7 linked regions of the Macaca fascicularis genome follow. The protein of the gene in region 2 purifies or fractionates together with the protein of the main gene of each other region. This does not show direct contact. Links are inferred from orthologs where the notes say so. Each region holds a gene or a part of one and is shown on either strand. Other genes may lie near its edges. The genes, in order: LARP7, KRR1, NOC4L, DDX18, DDX24, GNL2 and KRI1.

What was found.
Region 1: the proteins of KRR1 (region 2) and LARP7 purify together in Homo sapiens (affinity purification with mass spectrometry; 4 studies listed by BioGRID and IntAct, with this or other methods). This does not show direct contact. The link is inferred for Macaca fascicularis from reciprocal best matches to the Homo sapiens genes KRR1 and LARP7.
Region 3: the proteins of KRR1 (region 2) and NOC4L purify together in Homo sapiens (co-immunoprecipitation; 3 studies listed by BioGRID and IntAct, with this or other methods). This does not show direct contact. The link is inferred for Macaca fascicularis from reciprocal best matches to the Homo sapiens genes KRR1 and NOC4L.
Region 4: the proteins of KRR1 (region 2) and DDX18 purify together in Homo sapiens (affinity purification with mass spectrometry; 3 studies listed by BioGRID and IntAct, with this or other methods). This does not show direct contact. The link is inferred for Macaca fascicularis from reciprocal best matches to the Homo sapiens genes KRR1 and DDX18.
Region 5: the proteins of KRR1 (region 2) and DDX24 purify together in Homo sapiens (affinity purification with mass spectrometry; 3 studies listed by BioGRID and IntAct, with this or other methods). This does not show direct contact. The link is inferred for Macaca fascicularis from reciprocal best matches to the Homo sapiens genes KRR1 and DDX24.
Region 6: the proteins of KRR1 (region 2) and GNL2 purify together in Homo sapiens (affinity purification with mass spectrometry; 3 studies listed by BioGRID and IntAct, with this or other methods). This does not show direct contact. The link is inferred for Macaca fascicularis from reciprocal best matches to the Homo sapiens genes KRR1 and GNL2.
Region 7: the proteins of KRR1 (region 2) and KRI1 purify together in Homo sapiens (affinity purification with mass spectrometry; 3 studies listed by BioGRID and IntAct, with this or other methods). This does not show direct contact. The link is inferred for Macaca fascicularis from reciprocal best matches to the Homo sapiens genes KRR1 and KRI1.

Annotation. Positions count from the first base shown.
Region 1 is NC_088379.1:118,157,164-118,160,663, forward strand, and holds part of LARP7 (la-related protein 7), read left to right. Parts: intron 1-1,957; coding exon 1,958-2,117; intron 2,118-2,985; coding exon 2,986-3,077; intron 3,078-3,500. UniProt on the Homo sapiens protein: RNA-binding protein that specifically binds distinct small nuclear RNA (snRNAs) and regulates their processing and function.
Region 2 is NC_088385.1:82,341,901-82,345,400, forward strand, and holds part of KRR1 (KRR1 small subunit processome component homolog), read right to left. Parts: intron 3,363-3,500; coding exon 3,190-3,362; intron 1,809-3,189; coding exon 1,674-1,808; intron 1,480-1,673; coding exon 1,354-1,479; intron 1,270-1,353; coding exon 1,186-1,269; intron 121-1,185; coding exon 64-120; intron 1-63. UniProt on the Homo sapiens protein: Part of the small subunit (SSU) processome, first precursor of the small eukaryotic ribosomal subunit.
Region 3 is NC_088385.1:139,266,718-139,270,946, reverse strand, and holds the start of NOC4L (nucleolar complex protein 4 homolog), read right to left. Parts: upstream 2,801-4,229; 5' UTR 2,777-2,800; coding exon 2,660-2,776; intron 2,410-2,659; coding exon 2,289-2,409; intron 1,650-2,288; coding exon 1,543-1,649; intron 1-1,542. Other genes in the region: ATP-dependent RNA helicase DDX51, read left to right, coding at 2,968-3,271, 3,355-3,563.
Region 4 is NC_088386.1:13,953,883-13,957,382, forward strand, and holds part of DDX18 (ATP-dependent RNA helicase DDX18), read right to left. Parts: intron 3,053-3,500; coding exon 2,917-3,052; intron 2,564-2,916; coding exon 2,463-2,563; intron 2,350-2,462; coding exon 2,150-2,349; intron 2,065-2,149; coding exon 1,950-2,064; intron 1-1,949. UniProt on the Homo sapiens protein: ATP-dependent RNA helicase that plays a role in the regulation of R-loop homeostasis in both endogenous R-loop-prone regions and at sites of DNA damage.
Region 5 is NC_088381.1:162,094,328-162,098,563, forward strand, and holds the start of DDX24 (ATP-dependent RNA helicase DDX24), read right to left. Parts: upstream 2,801-4,236; 5' UTR 2,709-2,800; intron 1,379-2,708; 5' UTR 1,374-1,378; coding exon 662-1,373; intron 1-661. UniProt on the Homo sapiens protein: ATP-dependent RNA helicase that plays a role in various aspects of RNA metabolism including pre-mRNA splicing and is thereby involved in different biological processes such as cell cycle regulation or innate immunity.
Region 6 is NC_088375.1:197,333,389-197,336,888, reverse strand, and holds part of GNL2 (nucleolar GTP-binding protein 2), read right to left. Parts: intron 3,104-3,500; coding exon 3,009-3,103; intron 1,124-3,008; coding exon 984-1,123; intron 1-983. UniProt on the Homo sapiens protein: GTPase that associates with pre-60S ribosomal subunits in the nucleolus and is required for their nuclear export and maturation.
Region 7 is NC_088393.1:11,113,419-11,116,918, forward strand, and holds part of KRI1 (protein KRI1 homolog), read right to left. Parts: coding exon 3,462-3,500; intron 2,409-3,461; exon of another isoform or gene 2,253-2,408; coding exon 2,198-2,252; exon of another isoform or gene 2,128-2,197; intron 2,122-2,127; coding exon 2,072-2,121; intron 1,678-2,071; coding exon 1,581-1,677; intron 1,494-1,580; coding exon 1,416-1,493; intron 868-1,415; coding exon 728-867; intron 355-727; coding exon 228-354; intron 127-227; coding exon 31-126; intron 1-30.

The sequences.
Region 1 (3,500 bases), on a different chromosome or scaffold from region 2:
TTACCCTGCCTGTGACCCATTTAAGTCAATCCTTTTCTTTTTAAAAAGTGTGAAATGCTCTGTAACATACCACATATTTTAAGTATTTTCTTATACTGACATTCATCATCACTTAGTATATTGTTTTGGTTTCACATAGACTCATCAGTCACAGGTTTTAACTTGAATATCATTGAGGTGGTTGTTTATCTGTAAGCACTCCTTATCTGAAATGCTGTCCTACAATCCTATAGCTGTCACTAAGAAACAAATTTTGATTCTCTTTCCAATATTGGTGAAGGATTTGGCCAAATCCAAATTGCTATTACCAACTTGCATTTCAGGAGACAGCTGAAAATTGAGGGATGTAAATACCGCTCTGGTTAATCAGATTGCAAAACATTTAATAAAAAAAATTACTCAGTTATTTGTAATCACTCATTAAATAACTTTTATTATTTAAATGGTAACTATATCAATTACAAATTCATCATTTATGATCATCAAAATCATAAAATCAATCCCTGCATTAATCCAGTTAGTAGTTACTTACATTTTGCTGAAACAAAAACTGAGCTGTGATGGTGGTTACAGCTGTCTGTGACTTGCCCATGTGATTACTAGGCTAATTTGTCCTTCTATGGGTTTTAAATTCTGAGGGTTTTAAATCAAGAGATTAGCCTGACATTATAATGGATATTTAGTAAATATCTTTTGAGTTGTAGTAATTGAATATGCTCAGAAGTCAGTTATAAAACTCATTACTAGTACTGAATGCATTCAAATTTCAACAATACTGAATTTTTTACTTGCTTTATATCTAAATTTGGTACTAATTAATTAGATAAAGAAGTGGGAAGGACTAGCAAGTATATGTCTCTGCAGTTCTTTTTTTTTTTTTTAATTTGGCAAACAGTTACCAAATGCCTGTTTTGTGCTAGTTTGCTGAGTGTTGGGATGAGTTAAGATCTGGTCCCTGGCTTCTAGAAATTCATAGATTTTATTATATATTTTTTATTGTTAACTGATAAACTTGTCTTATTCTATGATGAAATAATACTCCCAGGTATTGCTCAATTCTTTCCATAAATCAAACATCTAAAAATTCAACATTTGAACATAATCTAAATTAGTTGTGTCCTGAAAATGTAGGTTAAAACTAAAGTGAGGCAAGATAAGAAAGATTTTTTTCCCCCATTTAGGAATCTGCAGTTATTTCTTTAGCTTTGTGAATGGAAGTTGATGAATTAGGAATTAGTGTAACATTCCTGCATAAATGCATTGTATACTCTGTAAAACCTGCTGTGAGGGAAAAAAAAAAAGTTGATTAAGAATGCAGGAATCTGGTTAATTTGCCCTCACAGCAGGCAGTGTAGGTAAAACTTTTCCTTGCTGGGTGACCACAACTTGTTTAGAAGAGGTTGCTTAGGTATTTTTTTCAGAAAGTAAGAGCTCTTGAACAATTTGGAAACCTAGTATCTTAGGTTCAGTAAAACTGTTTTTCATGAGTTGTTATTAAAAGTTGAGTGATTTGTACACATATTTTAAAGTCATAGTGATTTTCTGCAGGTGAGTAAAAACAAACCTCCCTTAATCCTTTTTTTTTTTTTTTTAATTTTATTCCTTATACTAACTACTCCCAGATGTGAACCCTTCCTGATTTGGGGATTGGGGGACACTATTTCTGCTTTCTGCTCTACAAATCTGTTGTCCTTATAGAATATTCCCATTCTAGTTCAGATTTTACGGATGTGATTTCAAGAAAATAAAGGAAAATAAATTGTTAGAGTTGATATTATTCAAATCTATTTTTAAGAACATGCTTTACAAGAAATGTTTGATATAGGATATTTGCTCCTCATTAGTCTGCAAAATGCTTTATTTACATAATATATTCTGGCATAACCATTGGAATAGTTTTAGAATTATTGTGAAACATTTTAAATTTTATTTGTCTTTCTACTTAATTCTGATGCAGGATACTTTGGCAGCAATCTCAGAAGTTCTTTATGTTGATTTGCTTGAAGGGGATACAGAATGCCATGCTAGATTTAAAACTCCTGGGGATGCTCAAGCAGTAATAAATGCATATACAGAAATTAGCAAGAAACACTGCTGGAAACTCGAGATCCTTTCTGGTAAAACTTCATAGAAGTGTTTTTTTTTTTTGTAACCATCCTTATTGTGGGTAACATTTTCTGAGTTTGGCTAATGAAACTAGTTTTGTTTTTTGTTTGTTTGTTTTTTGTTGTTGTTTTTTTTTTTTTGGTCTCACTCTGTCGCTCAGGCTGGAGTGCAGTGGTGTGATCTCAACTCAACGCAACCTCCACCTCCCAGGTTCAAGTGATTCTCCTGCCTCAGCCTCCTGAGTACTTGGGATTACAGGCGTGTGTTACCACGCCTGGCTAATTTTTATATTTTTATTTTATTTTTTGAGACAGAGTTTCGCTCTTGTTGCCCAGGCTGGAGTGCAATGGTATAATCTCAGCTCAGTGCAACCTCTGCCTCCTGGCTTCAAGTGATTCTCCTGCCTCAGCCTCCCAGGTTAGCTGGGATTACAGGCATGTGCCACCTTGCCCAGCTAATTTTATGTTTTTGGTAGAGACGGGGTTTCTCCATGTTGGTCAGCCTGGTCTTGTCTTGAACTCCCGACCTCAGGTGGTCTGCTTGCCTTGGCCCCCTGAAGTGCTGGGATTACAGGCATGAGCCACTGCACCAGGCAATTTTTAGTAGAGATGGGGTTTTGCTATGTTGGCCAGGCTGTTGTCGAACTCCTGACCTCTGGTGATCCTGCCTCCTTGTCCTCCCAGAGTGCTGGGATTAGAGGTTTCAGCCACCGCACCTAACGAAACTAATAATTTTATTTCTATTCTGTAATATGTATAAAGTGGCATTAAATATAATCAAAAACTGTCCTAGTTCTGTTACTGAGAATGTAATGCCTTGAATATGGTTTTTCAGATGTGTTCTTCTTTTCATCCATCAGAGTTTTTGTTTGTTTTTAAGGTGATCACGAACAAAGGTATTGGCAGAAGATTTTGGTTGATCGACAGGCAAAACTTAATCAGCCTCGGGAAAAGAAAAGAGGCACTGAAAAGGTAATTAATTCATTTTTGTTTTTTTAGACTAAACTTTCTTTGAACATTTAATGCCAAAGTCAGTATAGGTAGTCATAAAATGATCTTAGCTTTGCTATTACCTAACAAAGATTTACTGAGTATATACTATGTTTTAGGTTGGGAGGAAAAAGTCATTTCTCTAGATTTCAAAATGTGTGAAATTATTTTTCTCACAAGGATACATAATTATAATTTAGAGTTTTTCTTTTTAACTAGTGATACTTTAACAATCTTGATTTCTGGCTGCTATGTCTTGTAGTTTGGTGGTAAATGATTATAGAAAGATTATCGTAATGGTAAAACCACAACATATTTAGAATGTAGTTTCTAAAGATAGGAAGCTCCACAGATAAGATGGAGAGACTTTATGCATAGTGTTTCCTATAGCAACGATAAGCTTTA
Region 2 (3,500 bases):
AAAGGATTCTGTAGCTAAAAGAAGTATGATAATCACTGGTAGTCACATAGAATTATCACTCACTTTAATGTTATAAATTGGATGAATATTCTTCATAGTATCTAGGACTACTTTTCTAACCTGAAATTTGCAAAGAAAAATGAATTAGTCACAAGGATTTTAATGAGCTATGGAGGAGAGGATAAATACTGCAAAATATCTAATCAGGTAATGGGTATCAAATTAAATAATTTAATTAAATAATTAGATCTTTCATAGAGGCAGTCAAACCTCCCTTGAATACAATACAGTTTCTCAATTACTGCTAAAATGTAGCACAGAGAACTAATACAACACTGTATAGCAACGTGATTTAGGAAGAAGAGGGCTGGAATACAAGGACTGCCATTGCATACAGGAAGGTCACTTTCCTGTTCCAGCTTTCTCATTTGTAATATAAAGATAAAATCATATACCTCAAGACTCTATTGTAAGAATTAAATATTTTAAAGACTTTATAAAACTAAAGTATTCAATATACTTAATTATTGCTCCATGAGAAAAGAGCAGACAATTTATGACAAAAAGGGCCAATAGGATTACTATTAAAGGCCCTGGAAAGGAAGCACAACCTCACAAGCCAGATCCAGACAGTAATAGTACCAAAAGGAGTTAAAAGAAATAGCATTTGCTCCACAGATTTTCTCACATTTAATTTAAAAAGTTAAAGAAAATGTTCATGAAAAGTTATTAAACATTATACTAAAATTCAAACAAAAGAAAACATATCTTGAAGAAAAGTTTTCAGAGTGTGACCTCTACTGGCTGTATACACTACTGCAAATAACTGGAGTTTTGCTCAATTTTCGCATCATTTGGGCATATGTGACTATTCCACGTTTTTCGTCTGTGCTACAGACTGAAGATCTTAAATGCTCATTTAAATGTTATAGCGGAGGAGTAATAGTGTGCGGACCTTCTAATTCAGAAATGCATGTCTCCTTAGTTGCCAAGGTTGGCCAAAACATGTTAGGGTCCAGAAATGATGATTCCCTTGAATTATATGACATAAAAAGTATTTACTAATGGGAAATCAAAGCACATTCTAAAAAAATAAAATTATAAAGCATTATCCAATAAACTATATTATAACCAAATTATTTGTTCTCTGCTGAAAATGAATTGAAGATAATACATAGTTCTCACCTCTTTTAAGCCACTAAAAGGTCCAATGGCTGAAACTGTGTTTCCCTGAACCATAATGTAACAATTAGTTAAGAGTTCCAATGCCTGTATCAAGAGATCAGGTTAAAATTCATTACTCTGAAAAATTATTAAGGGAGAGACTCAAGTTTTCCACTAATAAAAAAATACCTTCAATGTAGATCCTTTGGGACCAATAAGCCGTTGTCTTCGTTTTACAAATCTCTCTTTATTCCTTACTAAAGAACCTATTTTAATGATGTCACATGCAACATCATCCTGAAGAATTCGTACTGCCTTTTGCAAAAAAAAAAAAAAAAAAAAAAAACAGACATTATCAACATTTTTTACAATTACATTTATTTTCCAAGCCCATGCTATTGTTATCTAAGCACAAATACGAAAACTTGATGGTGGAAGGCGGAAAAGATGGGATGTTATAGGTTAACACTGATGCAAACAAAGCAAAGTCTCTGTAATTTTAGATTTACCTGTTCAAATGAAACACTCCTTGCTAACAGTTTTATCAGATCTCTTGCCCTAATGATGATATATGGATCAAAAGTCTTCTTTGTAGTACAGACAGTCATGCTGCCTTCGATCAGGTCCAGGGTTGCATTAACATGCTACAAAAGGAAAGAGCAAACAAGCAGTTGTCTAAAAATGAGTTTATTTTTAGATAAATATAAAGCCTATCCTAACCAACCTATTAATTTCTGTCACCTCTCAATTCCTATCAATTACTTCCCTGAAGAAGCTAGGTAGTTAAGTATAAATAATGAATACTCAATTACTTTCACACTTTACAGACTATAAGAAACTGGAGCAATTGAAACCATTTACACTTGGTTTTAGAATACTTTGTACCCACTGGAATATAGATTGCCTCTAATTTTAAAATTATAAATGAAACAAATGGGGTCATACTTAAAATCTGACTAAGATAAAAATGTAAAGCTGTACAGCTTCCCTATTCTGGACCCAGCTCCAGTCTACCATCTGCTCCATTGGGTAAGAATTGACTTTCCCTTTCAAACTTTTTTCCTAGCTAATTAGGGGACTAAATACTAAGTAAAAGCAAATTAACATAGTTTCAGAAAAAAGCAACGATTAGAAAACTTAAGCATTAACTTTCAACAGGAAAAAACAGATTTCAACAAAGCAAATTAAAATGCTATTTTCTCACTTGTGAGCATAATCTCAAGAATATTTCAACATAGTTAAGTGTTGAACAATTCAATATATGGTTGGGTCGCTATGAGTTTACAAAAAAAAAAAAGAGCTCAATCCCAGACGCAGCTATAAAACACAACCTGCAGCTTGCTGAGCCACCTTCACCCACAATGGCACAACCAACTCCAGAGCAGTCCCACAGTGAGAAACACATTTTATATCACAACCTAATAAATGTACACACACACACACACACACACACAACTAAGCCAATATGAAAAAAACATACTTTTACCATGGATATGCCGTTTTCTAAAGGCTCCTTATAGCCATTAAATTGACTTCTCAATACACTAATGGGTTTCAATACCCAGTTTGGGGAAAAAAAAAAAATGCAGTTATCTAGGGGCACAGCATCAGCATAAACAAGGAAAAGTTGGATACATCCACATCTTCCATTTAAGATGAAAAGTAATCCATTTAGAAACATGACTCAGCTCAGACTGGGACAGACACATGACAACTCTCATGGCCTGGAGCAGGCATTCTGAAATTGAGACTTCACAGGTGAATTTCAGACAGTTGTGAAGCTCCTAAAATATTAAAGGTATGCAAATTTTTCAAAGTAATTTATTACTCATAAAATTTAAAACAAATGAACATTAGGTAAGAAGAAAATGTACCTAAATAGTTTAAAATACCAAAGGAACCAAAGTAACCAGCACCATTGCTATGTTAGCACCATTAAAAAAAAAATGCATCTGCATACATACACTTAAAGGCATAAGCAAGAGCAAAGTCTCAAATAAATGTATTATTATAAGATACACATACATGTTCATTCAAGGCTTTCTGCACCAATGGCCAACACTCTTTCAAGTAAGCTTCTCTGTATTTTGGGAACAAAGTTGAGAAACTGCTCTCCTCCAAAAGTCCTCTGGGATTGTCCTCTTTGGAAAAAGCTGGTTCCTTCCAGCCATCGGGAACAGTAAGGAGTTCTGATTCATCTACAGAAAGGAAAAAATTGACACATCACATTTTAACTGTCTTTTGGACACTTTATGAACATCCTATGCACATATTCATAAGCCTTCCAGTACTTCTTGCATTTCCTTTTCCCCGCTTTTTATATTATTCAAGAGTCG
Region 3 (4,229 bases), about 57 Mb from region 2:
CAGGGAGCCCCTCACAACCAGGCCCAGAGCTGAGAAAAGGGCGTCCTGGCCTTCTCTTGTTCCACACGCCACCAGATGGCACTCCGGGCTTCCGTGTCCCACCCACGACATGGGCATGACAAGATCTTGAGTTAAAGAAATCCAGTGCTCACGAGAGAGTCTGGCCAGGGAAAGGCACACAGCCCAGGTCTGCTTTATGGCCACCTGACTGCTCTCTCATCACTTGTATCACAGGAATGCCACCATAACCCTTGGGCACAGCTGTGAAAACAGGGGTGTGACGCCAGCATGCTGCCCAACTCAGATTCAGGCTCAGAAGCTCTCATCTCAGGGTGGCAAACTCAGTACTTTCAGGTCCCAGGCAGATGACACCACAAAGCAAAAGAGCCACGTGTGGGATGACAGGAGCAGGCGCCTGTCTCAGAGCTGTCCCTGACTCTCCCTCCAGCCAATCACAGCCATGAACAAACTTAGACCCCAGTGTTGACAGAACTGATTAGTTCTTTGTGAAAAGCAGGATGCTGGTTATTTTCATGTAGTATCTCCCCAGCTTTTAGAAGTCTGCAACTCGACTATAACTAGAGACAGATGCGTCGGCAAAGACGTGGAGTATGGAACACTCATACTCTGCCAGCGGGAGTGTAAGATGGCGCAGCTACTGTGGAAAACAGTCTTGCAGTTCCTCAGACGTTAGAAACAGAACTGCCGTGTGGCCCTGTAATTCCACTGATGAGGCACATTCAAGCAAAACAAACATGTTCACACAAAAGTTTGTACACAAACGTTCACAGTCCACTGTTCTTAACAGCCACAGGTGGAAACGACCCAAATACCCAGCAACGCACGCGCAGCTGACGGGTGCGTGCTGCACGACGGGACGCCGCTCAGCCGCAGGGAGGAACCAGCCTCTGAACACACCGACAAGTGGAAGGCACATACCACATGCTCCCCCTTGTGATGAGCGTCTAGAGAAAGCAAACCCACTGACCCAGAAACTAAATGAGTGGGTGTCTGGGGGTTGGTGTGGAACAGGGTGGGATATGGCAGTGATGTTAACTGGTACAGGATTTCTTTTTGGGGCGATGAAGATGTTCTGGGATAGTGGTAACCACTGTACAACTGTGAACACAGTAACAAACGCTAACTTGTCAATTTTAAATGGTAAACTGTGCATCACTTATTCCTCAATACAGATTTTAAAAAAGCTCACAATGCATTCCCATGGCTGCAGACCACAGTGTGGGCTGAGCAAACACAGCTGTGGACTGGCACGAGGCTTGATGTGTGTGCTCTACGCAACAGAGATGCCCGTCGATGCCTCTGGAGGTGAACACGGGTTGTGCCTCTTCAATATTCAGTACAGGACTCGATAGCCATGTTTGTAAACGGGGCTGAACGCCCACAAGGTGACGATCCCATGAGCCAAAGAAAGGAAGCAGCTTTCCCTGGACAATTGTGGGAGCCCCAGACCTCTGATTTGTGGATAGCCTGGGAGTGGCAGTGCAGGGGATGGACACAGATGAGTGCGGCCCAATGACCCACCTTGACCTGAAAGGAGGGGTGGCCCAGAAGCTCTCCCAAGCGGTTGCCGCAGCTGTGATAGCGATGTCTCATCCATACTTTGTACTTCCGTGCGGCTCCCCGGGACCCTGCAGACAGGTTAAGGCGGTCAGTGATAGCGGTGTCTCCTCCACACCTTGTACTTCCGTGCGGCTCCCCGGCACCCTGCAGACAGGTTAGGGGGCTCAGCCCACATATGCCACTTTGGGCCCCGCCCAAAGTCTCAGGCCTGGCTCCACCCTCCCCCTGTCTTCTACTCAGCCTCCACAGGTGGAAACAGGTCACTATGGCCCCCAGACCTGTGCTGGGACCTGCGGGTTCCCTGAGCCCTGCAAACAGGAAGAGCAGCTCCTACCCCAGGACTGCCTCAGGCAAGCTGCCAGGGGCAGGATCCACATCTCCTCACTTTACTCCAAGACCCCACGTCCCCAGAATGGGGACATAAAGGAAGTTCCGAGTTTAAGTGACCATGTCAAGATCAATCAACATAAAATTACAAAATGGGTGCAAAGCACAAAGACAAAAAGTCGTACCTTGTCCAGCGTTCATCTAAACGCAGCTATATAGTATCCATGTCACCCCTGCATCCATCCTCCGCGGGGGCTTGGTGTGTCCTCCCACCAGCCTGCACGGTCTGTGACAGGTTTGGGGGCGCTCATCCCACGGTGACAAACCTCCCTCCGACCCACGGAAAGAGAAGAGCAGCCCCGGGGCCCTCCAGGGCTCACCTGTCATGACCATCTCCTCAGAAGGCAGCTGGCCCACAAACAGCTCTCCCCGCTCCAGCAAGGCCCCAAAAAGACGGCTGCACGTGCGGACTGCTTCCTGGATCTCCTCCTGGTCCTCAGACTGCAGGAGAGGCGGCGGCAGGGTGCCCAGCCGGGAACTGTCACCTTCGCCCCTGCCTCGGCCGCCCCCCACCCCTGCTCTCTTCCCCCTCGGGACGCCAGCCCCGTCACCCCCGACCCGTGATCCACACGCCTCCCTCCCTGACCCTCCAACGCCGTCCCTGAACCTCCTAGGGCCCTGCCGCCGCAGCCCCCCGTTCAAGTCCCGCTCCCGGGCCGCGACCCCGGCCCTGCGACGCCGCCGGGCCCACCTGCAGCACGGCCAGGATGTCGAACACGGCGTTGGCCTCACTCCGACTCGCCAGTACCGCCTCCAGCCTGCGGCCCAGCGCCCGGCGAACGCCCGCGGCGCCCGGCTCCCGCTCCATGCCGCCGCCAACACGGCAAAACGCGGTACCCAGCCGCCGGCGCTCCCTTGACGTCACCACTGCGCGTAGAGTCTGACGTCATCTCTACGCGCCGCACCCAAACCCCGTCTTTCGCGCCGAGCCCGAGTCCCAGGCGTGCCGCCGACGTCATCGCCGCGCGTCGAGCCCGAGCCCCAGGCGTGCCGCTGGCCATGTCGCTATTCTACGTCGCGCGGTACCAGGGCCCCGAGGCGGCAGCTGCGGCGGGGCGGGAGGGCGCGGAGGCCGGGGCCCACGGCCGGGCCCGCGCGCTGCTCGAGCGGCTGCAGAGCCGGGCCCGCGAACGGCAGCAGCAGCGGGAGCCCGCGCCGACCGAGGCGGCTGCACCGACCGAGCCGGCGACCAGGAAGCGACGGCGGCCCCGGCGGCGGCGGCGGGTGAACGGCGCGGAGTCGGGCAGCCCGGAGGCGCGGCAGGGAAAGCGACGGAAGGCGGACGGCGAGGACGCGGGCGCAGGTGAGTCGTGGGGCGAGCGGGCTCCCTCCGGGGCGCCGGCGACTCGGTGCTGACGCGCTGCCGGGTGGGTGTCTGCCTCGCAGAAAGCAGCGAGGATGCGCCGGGGGAGCCCAGCTCAGGGAGCAGCGAGGATGCGCCAGGGGAGCCCAGCTCAGGGAGCAGCGAGGATGCGCCGGGGGAGCGCAGCGCCAGCGCCGAGGCGGCCCCAGACGGACGGGCCCTGGAGGAGGCGGCCGGACCCCTGGTCCCCGGCCTGGTGCTGGGGGGGTTCGGGAGGAGGAAGGCGCCGAAGGTGAGCGGCGGCTGTCGGAAGGGTGGTCGGCGTGGGAGGGGAGGCTGCGCAGATTCTTAAGTGTGGCGGTCGCCCCGGAAGGCATCGTTGAGCGAATGCTCCCGGGTCACAGACGCGCCTCACTGCCAGGCCTGCAGTTTGTCTGGATCCTGCATGTGCGGAGCTCCCGTTTTTTCTGCTAGGCTTGCCCCTGCCATCCCGTCGCGCCGCGCCAGTTCTCCTGCAGGATGTGCTTGCGTGAACGTGCGGGGGGGGGGGTCTCCTGCTGTGCGCTCACCGCCTCAGGAGCAAGTCAGAGGCCATTCCGCAAGCCCCTGGCCCTTGGTGTTTTTGCTTAGCACGGGTGGTTTTCGGTAGAGATCTCTGGTGAGACAGGTGAAGAAAAGGAGAAGTTTGGCAGAGTGCTTGGGCACCTTAGGTAGGGCGGGGTGGAGAAGGTTTTCTTTGAGCTGGGATGCGAAGACTTGAAGCCAGGTCAAAGTTGAGGGTTGGGGATGCCAGGCAGAGGCCTCGAGGCAGGGACGCCGGCGTGGCTGGGGCAGGCGAGCACCAGGTCACAGGGCCTCCTGGCTGCGGAAGGGTGGGTGCCACTGTGGGTTGATGGGAGACTACAGGTGAGTTTGCTCAGTGAGTGGTGTCTACTTTTGCTGTTGAACTTCTGTCAAG
Region 4 (3,500 bases), on a different chromosome or scaffold from region 2:
ATTCCAGGCCCAAATGGATTCCACTGGTGAATTATATTGAACATTTAAGAAAGAAACATCAATTATTCACAAACTCTCTAATAAAGAGATTTATTATAATTTATTATACTTATTATATAATTATAATTTATTATTATATTTATATGTCAACTCATTCTTTGAAGTCAGTCATTACACTATTCAAAAACCTGACATGACATTAACAAGGAAAGAAAACTATGCACCAATACAATTTGTGAGCACATACGCAAAATTCGAAATAGAATTTTAGTAAAGTGAATTCAGCAACATATAAAAAGGATAATGGATCATGACTAGGCAGGTTTATTCTACAAATGCAGGGTGGTTCAACATTTGAAAAATCAACCAATACAATTTACTATGTTAACTAAAGAAAAAACATGATTACTTCAGCAGACAGAAAAAAAAATCTGATCATCTATTTCTGATTAAAAATCCTCAGCAAACTAGGAACAGAAGGGATCTTCCTTAATCTGATAAAAGGCATCTATATAAAACCTACAGCTAAATTCATATGTAGTTAACGGTAAAAGACTGAATGCTTTCCCCTAAGATCAGAACCAAGACAAGGATGTCTGCTCTCATCACTTCTATTCAGTACCATACTGGAGGTTCTGGCCAGGGCAATCAGATAAGAAAATAAATAAATAAATAAACAAAGAGGTGAAACTGTCTTTATCTGTACATGATTGCCTATATAGAAAATCCAAAAGGCTACAGTCATCTGGAAAGTCATACTGAATATTCATTCAGTACAGGATTAACTGTCTTGCTAGATATAAGATCAATATAAAATTCAACTGTGTGTGTATATATATGTGTGTGTGTGTGTATGTGTACATATATTAAAGCAACGAGCAATTGGAATTTGAAATTTTAATGAAATACTTGGGGATAAATCTGACAAAAGATGTGACTAAACCTGTATCCTAACCTCCCCCCAAATATTATAGAGAAACAAAATATCTAATACATGGAGATATACCTTATTATGAGTTAATATTGTTTTCCTCCAATAATCTCTATTCAATAAAATCTCAATCAAGATCCAAGACTTTTTTGGAGGGAAGGGGGAGAAACTGACAAACCAATTCTAAAATTTATATAGAAATGCACAAAGGACAAGAATACCACAACTTTAAAAGAGAACAAACTTGGGGCTAACATTACCTGATGATCAAGACTTAACAGGAGGAACTGGAGCTTTCTTGCACTGCTCATAGGAATGTTAAATGGTACAGCCGCTTTGGAAAACATCTGGCAGTTTTTTAAAAAGTTAAACATATACTAAATATATACCAACTATGATACTCCTAGGTTTACTTAAGAGAAAAGGAGACATATGCCTCTATAGGGACGAGGTATGTGTGTAAGGAGGGGTGCGAGGGAGAAACTGAAAAGGGGCAGGAGGAAACCTTTGAGTGGGATAGACATGTTCATTTTCTTGATTGCAGTGATGGTGTCACAGTGGAACATAAAATTGTACATTATAAATGCACATATAATTATGTCAATTATACTTTGATAAAACTTTAAAAAATAAATTATACAATGAAGGAAACCGTGGTCTTAGTTATAACCAGTTCATAATGTTGCAAGTACTGTAACCAAGGTATGTACAAGTAAGGCAACAAACCTATGGCTACTTGGGGGATGTTACATGAGGTAAGAATGGGCAAGAGGCGCAGGACAGGACCTATGTGAAGACTGTTTAACATGCATTATAACTTCTAGAACAGCAAAACTACTATATCAAGTTATTAATCAATTTGATGCTTGTATTCCAAACTAACTTTCAGGTTAACTGGCACAACTACCTCACTTGGCTATGGTAAAGTTCTGGCATTAGCAGAGTTTTTCTATAGGAACAACTCTTATCTACTTCCAACAGATACTTTGCAAACCAAATGCAGATGCTACCTACTTACTTGGCAAAAGTTTAATAATTTGCTTTAATTCTTCTTCAAATCCAACATCCAAGATACGATCAGCTTCATCAATAACCAGACACTGAAGGTTTTTATACATAAACCCTGGGGTATTCTAACAAAACAAAGGACAAAGAACAACTATTAGTTGTCAGTCTATGTTTCATATAAGACAATGAGACAAGCACTACATCTCTTACCTGCATATGGTCCAACAGACGGCCTGGTGTGGCCACAATGATGTTGATCCCATTAGCGAGTTTCTGTGCTTCAGCAGATCTGTTACTGCCACCCATTATCAAGCCATAGGTATGCACGTGGTGAGTCATTAGCTCCTTAAGAACACCAAAAGTTTGCATGGCTAGTTCTCTGGTAGGTGAGAGAATAAGGACTCCCGTTCCTAAAAATAATACATATGGTAAAAGTCTAAACGTGGTTGTCACCATTGAGTCCGTAACAGCTACAATAAACCTCTAGTGAAATAATGGCAGAAACAAGCAGACAAAAGCTTACCATTCCTGGGCATGAACTTTAACTTGACAATGAGTTCAACTGCAGGGATGAGAAAAGCCAAGGTTTTACCACTGCCTGTTTTTGCAGCTGCTAGAAGATCCCTAAATATTAAAAAGGGAAAGGAGAAAGACATTGAGCCTACTCATTTACGATGTACTACACACACACACACTTTAGGCACTAAGGCTAGAACATGAACAAGATGATGTCTACTTCGCTGAAACTGATCACCTGGGTTATATACCGAAATCATAAGTCAGAACTGTGCTACAACAGAAGTGAACATCTTTCCAACACTTTCCTTCAAACATCAGTAATTAACTTAGTCTTTCATGTATGCTGGATACATGACCCAACATATAGCAGAAAATCAACAGAATATACTGGTATGTTCTTTATAATCTACTAGTTCTAAAAGCAGATGCCAGTATCTAAGCTTCAGTGTTAATCATACCTGCCTTCCAGAAGTGGTCTGATACTTTTATGCTGAATTTCAGTCATGTTTGTAAAACCCATTTCTTTTATTGCCTTCAGAGTGTTTTCATTGACAAGATTACATAGAGAAGCAAACGAAGTATCCTCAAAAGCTCCTAAACAGAAGACAATGTATCATCAGCAAATTTATTTTTTTTTAAAAAAGTTAGTATCGCTACAGTTGCCTAAATCTATTTTGCCTAGAAAAGCTTCCCACAGTAAGAAAAGGCTAAACCTTAATTATTCATATCTGATAATACCAACAAAAAGATCCTTTATCTTTCAAGTTTCTCCATTGTTAATGGCTGTGTAAGTTATAGTCCAGAGTCCATACTGTAACAAAACGAGGGGTATAACTGAGGAATTTATATAAAATAAAAATACCAAGACAAGGAAAATAATTGAGAGTCCAGAGATAAATGAAATGCTTAAGAAATCTGATACAAAAAGTAAAAACATTGAACATTAATAAAAACTGAGTGTCAAGTCAATTTAAAAAAACACTGTTAATCTCACTCCAACAAGACACAGAAGAGTCAGATACAGCCACAGAATATTAGGCTG
Region 5 (4,236 bases), on a different chromosome or scaffold from region 2:
CTCCCCCAAGTCAGTAGTCTAGTTATCCAGCAAAGCCAACCTGTCGTTGCTTCCAAAAGTCTTGCAGGAACCTCACACAGCCTAGTCCTAACAGTCACGTCATAGCTGAATCTGTTTACAAAATCCACCCAATGACTATCCATCATACTCAAATCCTTCCAATGACAAGAAATTCATCAACTCCCAAAGCAGCAACCCTTTTCACCTTTGCACAACTCCTGAGAATTAGACAGTTCTTCCTTATACTTATGAAGATCGACCTCTCCAGAGGGCTGATCTTAGCCTTACCTTACCCCTATGAGTCATTCAGAAAAGGCTCAAGAACAGGAGAAACTACCATTTGCAGACCACTTCCAATGTACAGTGTAAGCTTTAGCTTACTGTAGCATTTAACTCTCACAGCAATGCAAGAGGTAGAAACTGTTATCTCCATTTGGTTGATAATGGGGTCTACAGAGCTGAGAGAGATAAAAGTGATGGCTAGGGTACCATTCAGGAAAAGCATATTTCAAACCAGAGGGGGCTGACTTCTAAACACCTTTATTCAGCGTTGCTTTTGTGGTTATGTTCTCAACATTCTTCTCTCTCCCAATTATCTGGCTTATTAGTAGCTATGGGCTCAATCCAGAAGCAATCCTGCCTTGGCCGGAGTTGCCCTTACCTGTCTCAGCAGCCCCAAGGATGTCCAGTCTGTCACGGATGGCAGGTGCCAAGGTCAGGGCTTGGATCGGTGTGGGTGCAGAGAAGCCTAGAAAGCTGAGTGCTCGGAGAACCGGCCTGGGAACAAACAGGTCCTTCCAAGCTGACACATCTGCCTTCTGATCATGAACTTCAGGAATCCATGTCTTCACTTTTTTGGGCACCTTAACAGCAGTGCTCTGAGAAGGCTCCAAACCTTTTTTCCCTTTATTTTTCTTCTTTTTTGGAGCAGTTTGGACCAGGTTTTCTGATGTCTTCTCTCCAGCCTCCGGATCATCACAAACCATGCCATCTCCCTGGGCCTCCAGCTCAGAATCTTTGACTTCAACCTCTTTCTGGGTACTAGTTCCTTCAGTTGCTACATTTTTACTTTTCTTCAACTTCATCTTTTTCTTTGGTGAGCTAGACTCTCCCTCCTCCTCTTCTTCTGAAACAGCTTGTGCCTTTCTCTTGGGTGCCTCCTTTGAGAAGAGACTCGAGGGATTCTTGGCAGGAGAGACCAACTGGTAATCTGTCAATTCCTCAAAGCATACCAAATCATCCATCTGTCCATCTGCAAACATATTTGGGTCAATCTTCACTTCCTTCCATTTTCCCACAACTTTGATTCCCTTTGTCTGAAATTTGCCATAGTTTGATGCCTTTGGCCTTGATTTTGTGTCCTTCAACTTCATGGTTGCTGAAAAGGAGATACATGTTCTATTAGGTTGGTGTCTGAGAAGCAGAGGGTTCTGATGCAACAAATATTTTCTAAGCAACTAGGCCCTACAAAGAACTGAGGATACAAAGACGGCTATCACACAGTTGCTCCTACCTAGAGAAGAACAAAGAAGGAAATACCACAGAACAGACAGCTTTGCCCGAAACACAGGGTACACATGTGATGGAACAAAGACGTATGAGCTAGACCTGGTTTGAATTCCAAATTCAACACTTACTGCGTGTGTGACCTTGGATAGTGCCACCCACTCCTCTCTGAACTTCAGTGCTCTCATCTATAAAAAGGGGGAAGAGTACCTAACAATATCTAAGTTGTATATTTTGTGTAAATAAAGGAAATTATGTAAAGCACGGAGGATGAAGCCTGCCACACATAAGCCGTTCTGAAGGCAGAGTAAGAATCTGAGGGGTTTTTCTTGTGGGGGCAGGAGGGGTGAGCTTTATTAAAAGCGTATTGCGCTTGCTTCCTTCTCAAGCCTTGCCTGAGAGAGCAAATGCCTGCTCTACCATCCCTTCCTTTGCCAAGCGTCTTAAAACCCATCCAGCTTTTTCATCATATTTTAAGTGGCTTAAAGGCCATTTAGGCCCAACTCGTTTGGGTGGAACTCGATCCAGGTTTTTCCTTTTCAGAAAGCCGAAGGAAGACAACACGTTCCGTGAAAAAGACCAAGGTAAATCTTGGTTCAAATCCGGATCCACCACTCGTCAGCTGTGGCTCTGCGGTGGACGTATCCATCTCTGAGTCTCTATTTCCCCGTCTGCATAATGGGAATAACGAGGACATTTGTCCCACAGAATCGTTATACGCCACTACGAAAAAGTGACGCACGTCAAAAACCGCTGAGCATGGCGCCCGGCGAGAAGAGCACGTTCGCACACGGTGCCCGCCGGACCCGCTGCGCCATGGCAAAAAAAACACGCGGGGTTCAGCGAGGAGAGGGCGGGGGGTGCCACGCGAGGAACCGGGCGAGGACACGGGGAGCGTCAGGCAGAGTAGAAGGGCCTCTGTTTCCTCGTGACGCCGGTCTCGCGCGGCGCTCTCGCTTTGTCTCAGGCACGAACGCGCGCACGAAACCGAGAAGCCGAGGCCGTCAGGCCCTGATGCCCAGACAAGGAGCCCAAGGCGCGGGGACCATGGCACGCAGCTCGGTTGGACGGCTTGGGCCTGCGGGCGCCCTCTCTGGACCCGGGAACCCACCGGCCCAGAGAGACCTGCGAATAGGAACCCGGGTTCCTGGCCTCAGCCCCTCTCCAGGGTCCGCTCCAGCCCCGCTCGTTTTGGTACTCACCGTGTGAAGACGCCACGGCAGCTCCGTTGGTCGCCGGTCAGGAGCCTCAGAAACCGCCGCTGTACCTCAGCTGCAGAAGCAACCGCAGTTCCGGGGCGGGACCTCCACACACGTACTCGTGCGCGCTGCGGAGGAAGTCCCACCCCTATGGCAAACTCAGCTATCTGATTGGCTGCCTCGCGGACCAAAGCTGTGCTGATGGGAGAGCTGGCTTGGGGCGCTGGCCCCTCCTCTTCCAGCTCTGCTCCTCCCCGCTTAGGGAAAGGCCACAGAAGGTGAGGTTCTGTGTGCTCCCTCCGACTAGAGACTTTGTCAGGTACCTCACAGTAACGTGTTTTCTTTTATTTTTGGTGTAGTTTTGTTACCAGAAAGGGGTCCCGATCCAGACCCCAACAGAGGGTTCTTGGATCTTGCGCAAGAAATAATTCAGGGCGAGTCCGCATAGCAAAGCAAAAGCAAGTTTATTAAGTAAAGTGGCGAAAGTGCGGCTACTTCGTAGACGGAGTGGGGCGTTCCCGAAAGAGGACGTACGCGTCCATCGTAGGGAGATGTATTCTGCTACAAGGGTGACCTGTGATGAGTGTTCCTTGTATTGTAATTGTTTGGGGCCGCCATGAACTGTGCCCATATAAGACGACAAACTTAATTGATAAATGTTGTGTGTGTTCAGACTAATCCACTGACAGGCCGTTCTCCCTTCTCTCTCCCTTTCCTTGGGACTCTATTCCCTGAGACACAACAGTATTGAAATTAGGTCAATTAATAACCCTACAATGGGCCTCTAACTGTTTAAGTGAAAGAAAGAGTCGCACATCTCTCACTTTAACTCAAAAGCTAGAAATGGTTAAGCTTAGTGAGGAAGGCATGTCAAAAGGCAAGATAGGCTGAAAGCTAGGCTGAAAGTTTCACCAAAAAAGTTAGCCAGTTTGTGAATGCAAAGGAAAGCTACTGAAGGAAATTAAACATTTTACGCTAACGAACACATGAATGATAAGAAAGTGGAACTGTTTATTGCCGATTTGGAGAAAATTTTAGTAGTTTGGATAGAAAATAAAACCGGCTACAACATCCCCTAAAACCAAAACCGAATCCAAAGCAAGGCCCTGATTCTCTTCTGTTCTGTGATGCCTGAGAGAGGTGAGGAAGCTATAGAAGTTTGAAGCTAGAAGAGATTATTTCATGAGGTTTAAGGAAAGACGCTGTCTCCAGAAACATAAAAGTGTAAGATGAGGCAGCAAGTGCTGATGGAGAAGCTGCAGCAAGTTATCCCCAAGATCTAGGTAAGATCACTGATGAAGGTGGCCACTGAACAGCAGGTATTCAGTGTAGACAGAACAGCCTTCTATTGGAAGAAGATGCCATCAAGGACTTTCATAGCTAGAGAGGTCAATGTCTGGCTTCAAAGGCCAAGCTCACTCTTTTGTTAGAGGCTAATGCAGCTAGTGACTTTAAATTGAAGCCAGTGCGTGTTTACCATTCTAAAAATCTTAGGTCTTTTAAGAATTACACTAAGTATAATCTGCCTGTG
Region 6 (3,500 bases), on a different chromosome or scaffold from region 2:
AGCAGACAAACATCAGACTCTTTCTTTGTTCTGTGTGAAACTCATTCCATTCAACCCAGATTGAATCCTTACCGTACTTCAAACTTCAGCAACTGACAGCCAATGAGACCAGCACCCCTTCCTTCAGCTGAGAAGAAATCTCAAGGATCTTACAAAAGCTGAACGTACCCAACACCAAAGTTCTACCAACTCAATCCTAATTCTACGCTGTCCCAATGTTTGATGGAATTACCACTTAAAACAAGTTTGCCTACCAAAATAAATAATAATAAATAATATTACTAATATCTGTTATCAATTTAGCTCTTATTAGGTGGTGTGCTATGTGCTTACTACGGACCAAGTGCTTTACAGACGTTTCATCTGTAGCCAATAACCCAAGGAGGTGGGTTATCTATACTTTCTTTTTCTTTTTAGACAGTTTCGCTCCTGTTGCCCAGGCTGGAGTGCAATGGCACGATCTTGGTTCACTGCAATCTCCGCCTCCCAGGTTCAAGCAATTCTCCTGCCTCAGCCTCCCGAGTAGCTGAGATTACAGGCATGCACCACCATGCCTGGCTAATTTTGTATTTTTAGTAGAGATGGGGTTTCCTCTTATTGGTCAGGCTGGTCTCAAACTCCTCACCTCAAGTGATCTGCCCGCCTGGGCCTCCCAATTTACAGGTGTGAGCCACTGCGCCCAGCCTATTTATACTTTCAAAGCAAAGAAGTTCAAGTTCATAGAGAAACCCAACTAAGGGTACAGGAATGGATAGAGCAAGGATTAAAATTCAGGTCTCAACTCCAAAACCTGTGCTTTGATCCACTACACTACCATACTTCATACTAAACGTGAAAAGATGAAAACAGAGGTCTTAGGAAGTTCATCATTGCTACACTGAAATTGCTATTTTCTAAGAAAAACAAAAGACAAATATGTTAGAGAGGGAGCTGCAAGGAGTCTGCCCAGGAAATTCCATCGCCAGGGATATCCTACATCTTACATGAGGCCGGATTCGATCATGGAGAAGAGACATTGGTAACTTGCTTTGCTTCATGACAACTTTGTATGGATCCTTCATAACTGTATCCATTTCCTCTTGAAATTTTTGTAATGATGACTGCTTAATCACACGTGTGTTTCCTGTTTTACAAATAAAGAATGTTGCCACTTAATACATATTTGCACATTCATCTTCCACTGACACGGTGAAAGGCAAGATTTTAAATTACCCTCACTCACCCAAGTACCTGATCCATCCATCCCTTGGAGCTATTTCCAAACTTAAAAGAGGAAAAAAACCCAAAAAACTGCCTCTCCTGCACTTGCACACTATGAACTATTCCACCAACCCAGACCCACAAAAGGTTTCAATAGTTTTCCAAGCCGTTTCCTGACTAAATGAAACTGAGAAATAAATAGCGTGGAATGGAACTGAGATCTGACAAATGTCCTACTTCCTGCTAGATCTGGCAGAGAAACTTGGAGCCAATCACAGCTGATCAGTCAGTATAGACAGAGAATCTTGAAACACTGAAACCTGAGTCATAGTTACCACTTTTAGGGTTATGAGGATCCAAAGGGACCTCAATTGGTTAATCAATTGGTTAATGATTCATTAACCAATGAATCCATGCAAGGGAACAAGACAGAGCCCTGCTTGTTCCACCTGGAAAACACCTTGTGAGGGAGATCCTGAAAAGCATTCAATTAAACAGCATGCTGCAGCATGAATGCAAAACAGCAAGGTGGTAATGATGGTAGCAAGGAATGCTTATATTATACTCACTATTTGCTAGGTACTATTCTAAGCACTTTATATGTATTTACTTTTTTTTTTTTTGAGACAGAGTCTTACTCTGTCACCCAGGCTGGAGTGCAGCGGCACAATCTCAGCTCACTGCAACCTCTGCCTCCCAGGCTCAAGGGATTCTCCTGCCTCAGCCTCCCAAGTAGCTGGGATTACAGGTGCCCACCACAATGCCTGGCTAATTTTTGTATATTCAGTAGAGATGGGGGTTTCACCGTGTTGGCCAGGCTGGTCTCGAACTCCTGACCTCAAGTGAATCACCAGCCTTGGCCTCCCAAAATGCTGGGATTACAGGCATGAGCCACTGTGCCTTGCTTGTATTTACTCATTTGATTACCACGACAGTCCTGTGAGATAGGTTTCATCTTATTCTCTGTTAGGGATGAGAAAACTGATGAACAGACAGACTTAATAACTTGCACATAAATGACAGAACTAGAATTCAAACCCAGGCAGTCTAATCTGGAGTCACAGTACCCGGCAGCCATGCTAAATGCTTCTCTGCAGAGTTTTCTTTGACACCTTTCTGTGTTGCAGCTCCTAGGAAGTATCCTACCAAAAGTATAAGAGACTCAAAGGTAGCTGCCATCTGCCCCCAAGGACAGAGGTCAAACACCAAGCAAACACTGGGGTCTGATCATCTAAAGTGCCCATACATTACCAGTGGCTAAGGGCAAAGTTAAAAGCCCAGACTGAAATGGAACAGGGAGTTTCCCAAGGAAGAAGCCGTGATCACCCTGTGACTGAAGATACTCTATTCACTGTTGGAAGGTTCAACAGTGAGACCCTTTAATTGTCACCCAAGTTCAAATAAAAACTCCATTAAGAAGTGTTTCAGAGGAACTCTGGGCTAATGCACTTACCCTGAAGGATATATGCACAAACACCTACAAGGCCACCTCTCAAACAGTATCTCTCCAGGCAAGCATAAAAGATCAAGATGAGCATTCTAAGGTCTGTGAATGCTAGTCATTAAGGACGGTCTTATCTGCTTAAGAGGGTTCAATTACAATTACTAATGGTGAGCGCTCTTCAAAAAGAAGTTATTTATTAAATCTACCACCACTACTTTTCCCAGTACTTTTTCTTATCCCTTTCTCAGATAATCCTTGACAGTTCCACTCACCAAAAACTCCTATCGTTTAGATATTTAAACATCCTAGCCGTTTCCATTCAGCATACATTTTGTAGAGCAAAGTAGCAGGGGATAATACTCACCAAACCATTTAATATTTGGCTCTACTCTTGCTACTGTGCCAGAAGCCACCGTTGACTGATATTGCAGGGGTTTAATTATTTTACCACGACTGTTCCTAAATTGAGGAAAGAACAGATATTGGTTGACAACAGAAGAATGGCAACAGCAAAGTTTGATTTACAGAATATATTTTCCATCAAAAGGACTTCTTACTTTGGTTTTAAATGATCATGAAATACCAATTCCAGTAAACACAAAGTACTTCTACATTTGAAACAGATTGCCCAAAAGCCATTTAACCTCTTGCAACAGAGCACGTAATGATTTCTGCTAGATGAATAACAACGGTGACGTTTTAAAAAATCTGTTTACTGTTTACTTTAAAAAAAAAAAAACACATACTTGAGTTTTTTGGGTAACTATTCGAAGGCTGTTTTAGATGAATTGTTCAAGTAGAGGGTGATTTACGCTGGGATTCCAAATTCTAAAACAAACTGCAAAGTAGATGACTA
Region 7 (3,500 bases), on a different chromosome or scaffold from region 2:
TCCTCCCCAGCTGGCCGCCCCCACACTCACCCTCTTCTTTCGCTCCCGAGTCTCCTCCCTCTTCTCCTTCCTGCGCTCATCCTTACGGCGCACGGAGGACGCGATGCTGCGTGGGTAGGTCTTGACCTAGGGACAAGCAGAAAAGCCCAGAAGGGCCTCAGCGATGGTGTGGAGTTCCCTGGGCCTGGACCCCGGGGGCCGAGTCCTCCCCAGCCCCAGCCACACACCGATGTCGAGTCCGGCTCCTCGAAACGGAAATTGTACTTCTGTTCGAAGTCCTCCTGTTTCTTCAGAAACAGCTCCCCCTCGTCTGAGGAGTCATCCACAGCCAGCTGGACTGGGGGGCCGGGGACCCTGAGGAACAAGATGTGATGACGCCAGGGGGCCAGCCAAGCGAGGTCGAGCCCCCCTTTCCTGCACGTCTGGGTGCGAAGCGTACGAACTCATTTAATCCTCGCAAGAACCCTACAAGGTGCACGCTGCTATTGTCCTCATTTTACAGATGGGGAAACTGAGGCATGGAAGTCTCAAAGCAGAACCAGGATTTGTGGCAGTGCCACCTGGCTCCAGAGCCTACACTCTGTGGCTCTGCCTTGCAGACTAACTCTGCCACCCTCTGTGAAAAAAAATACACACACGGTGCCCTCTGCCTCCTGGCCAGTGCCGCCTGGGAATACGTCAGGAAGCGCACCCAAAATCTAGGCCCTGGGGAGAGGCAGTGGCTCACCCCTCCTCTTCCTCCTCCTTTGCCTCCTCATCTTCCTCCTCATCTTCCTCCTCCTCGTAGCGTTTGTTGAGGATGTAATCCCGCAGAAACCGCTCCCCTTCATCCAACTCAGGGTCGTTCCAGTATTCCTTGAGATGGGTCTGGGGGTGACAGGAGACAGGACTCTGGTCAATGAGGGACAGGGAAGGAGGGCAGGCATGGTCCCTCACAGCCAGCCTCTGGAGTAGGTGACATTAGCCCCATTTTGGTTTTTTATTTTTTTTTATTTCAAGACAGGGTCTTGCTCTGCTGTCCAGGTGAGAGTACAGTGGTGTGATCATAGCTCACTGCAGACTCCACCTCCCGGGCTCACAAGATCCTCCCACCTTAGCCTCCCAAGTGTCTGAGACTACAGGCGCGTGCCACCATGCCTGGCTAATTTTTTCATTTTTTTGTAGAGTGGTTTTGCTGTTGTTGCCTAGGCTGATCTCAAACTCCTGGCCTCAAGCAATCCTTCTGCTTTGACTTCCCAAAGCACTGGGATTACACGTGTGAATCACGGCGCCCACCCTATCCCCATTGAAAGAGATGTAGGAGCTGAGGCCCAGCGATGTGCACATCCCATCTTCAGAGGGTTATCTCTGTACATGGGTTGGATGGAGGCAGAACGGACGGTCTACTCCATCAGCGGCCATGCGTGAGAACTCACCAGTTCCTTCAGCGACTCTGGGTTCCCAATCTCTTTCTGCCCCTTCAGCCACTCGATGTAGTCGGCCTCCTCCTGGGCCTGGGGGAAAGCTAGCACTGAGCATCTGCAGATGCCCAACCACCCGCCGCCCTGTCCCCAGCAGTCCAGTGAGGCCCCGGTACACACCTTCTCCTGCCTGGTTTTGGCACGTTTCTGCAGCAAACTGGAGCCGCCCTCCCCAGCGCTGTCCTCGTCTTCACTGTCCTCCACAAATGCCCGGAAGCTGCCCACGAGAGAAAACAAGCCTCAGGACAGGCAGGCTGGCCCCTGTCTGCTGCCCCAACATTTATTTTGTAGAGCCGTGGTCTCACTATGTTGCCCAGGCTGGTCTTGAACTCCTGGGCTAAAGTGATCCTCCCTCCTCTGCCTCCCAAAGCCCTGGGATTACAGGCGAGAGCCACCTCACCCGGCCGGCTGCCCCAAAATTAATCCCATGTACTAAGCCCTGAGCTCTCCTTTCAACAAGCTCAGAGCAGTGCTGTGATGTTATTAACCCCGTTTAACTGATGAGGAAACTGAGGTACATAGAAAGTGACAGAGCTCAATTTGAACCCATGCCTATCCAACCCGAGCCTCAACTTTCCTCCATTGGGCCATTCCCACCCACCCAGCCTCACCTTTCCTTGAGCTGTTTCTGTTCCTCCACATAACTTTGCGATGATGTCTCCTGCAGAGAGGGCCATAGAGGTCTCAGGCCAGCCCTGGGCCCCTCAGCCCCCCACACCAGCCTCCACCCCACCCACCTGGAGTCTATGATTGGAAGTCTCCCCGTCTGAGTTCTCCTCGTCGACATATTTGCTGTAAAGGAAAAGTGGGGTCTTCAGAATGTATCTTCCAGGGCCCACCTGTCCCCGTGCCCATGTGGAGCGGCTCTTCCAAGCACCGGCTGGCGGGGGTCATCGGAGGGCTATGGAATCAGTGAGGCCCCTGCTCTCAGGGGTACCTGCGATTCTGGTGAGTTTCCAGCCTTTTTTTTTTCTTTTTTTTTTTATCTTTTCTTTTCCAATCATGGGTGACAGCATTTCTTTTTTGGAGCCAGAGTCTTGCTCTATCCCTCAGGCTGGAGTACAGTGGCATGATCTCGGTTCACTGCAACCTCCACCTCCCAGATTCAAGCGATTCTCCTGCCTCAGCCTCCCCAAGTAGCTGGGACTACAGGCGCCCGCCACCACATCTGGCTAATTTTTTTTTTTTTTTTTTTTGAGACGGAGTCTAGCTCTGTTGCCCAGGCTGGAGTGCAGTGGCCGGATCTCAGCTCACTGCAAGCCCCGCCTCCCGAGTTCACGCCATTCTCCTGCCTCAGCCTCCCGAGTAGCTGGGAGTACAGGCGCCCGCCACCTTGCCCGGCTAATTTTTTTTTGTATTTTAGTAGAGACGGGGTTTCACCGTGTTAGCCAGGATAGTCTCGATCTCCTGAACTCGTGATCCACCCGTCTCGGCCTCCCAAAGTGCTGGGATTACAGGCTTGAGCCACCGCGCCCGGCACATCTGGCTAATTTTTATATTTTTAGTAGAGACAGGCTTTTGCCATGTTGGCCAGGCTGGTCTCAAACTCCTGACCTCAGGTGATCTGCCCACCTCAGCCTCCCAAGGTGCTGGTATTACAGGCATAAGCCACCATGCCCGGCCTTTTTTCTTTTTGAGACAGGGTCTTATTCTGTTGCCCAGGCTGGAGTGTAGTGGCCTGATCATAGCTCACTGCAGCCTCCATCTCCTGGGCTCAATCCTCCCGCCTCAGCCTCCTGAGTAGCTGGGACTCCAGGTACACATCATCACGCCCAGCTAATTTTTAATTTTTTTGTAGAGGCGGGATATGTTGCCCAGGCTGATCTCAAACTTCTGTCCTCAAGCGATCCTATTGCCTCAGCCTACCAGAGTGCTGGGATTATGGACATGAACCACCACGCCCAGCCCAAGTTGCCAGCTTTTTTCCTCCCTGCCCCTAAGACCCCCATAGACCTGACAGGACTGGGAACCAGCGGGGGGGGATGTAGGCCTTCTCCATACCCTGCCTTCTCCAAGATAACCTTCCTCTCGTAGTCCTTC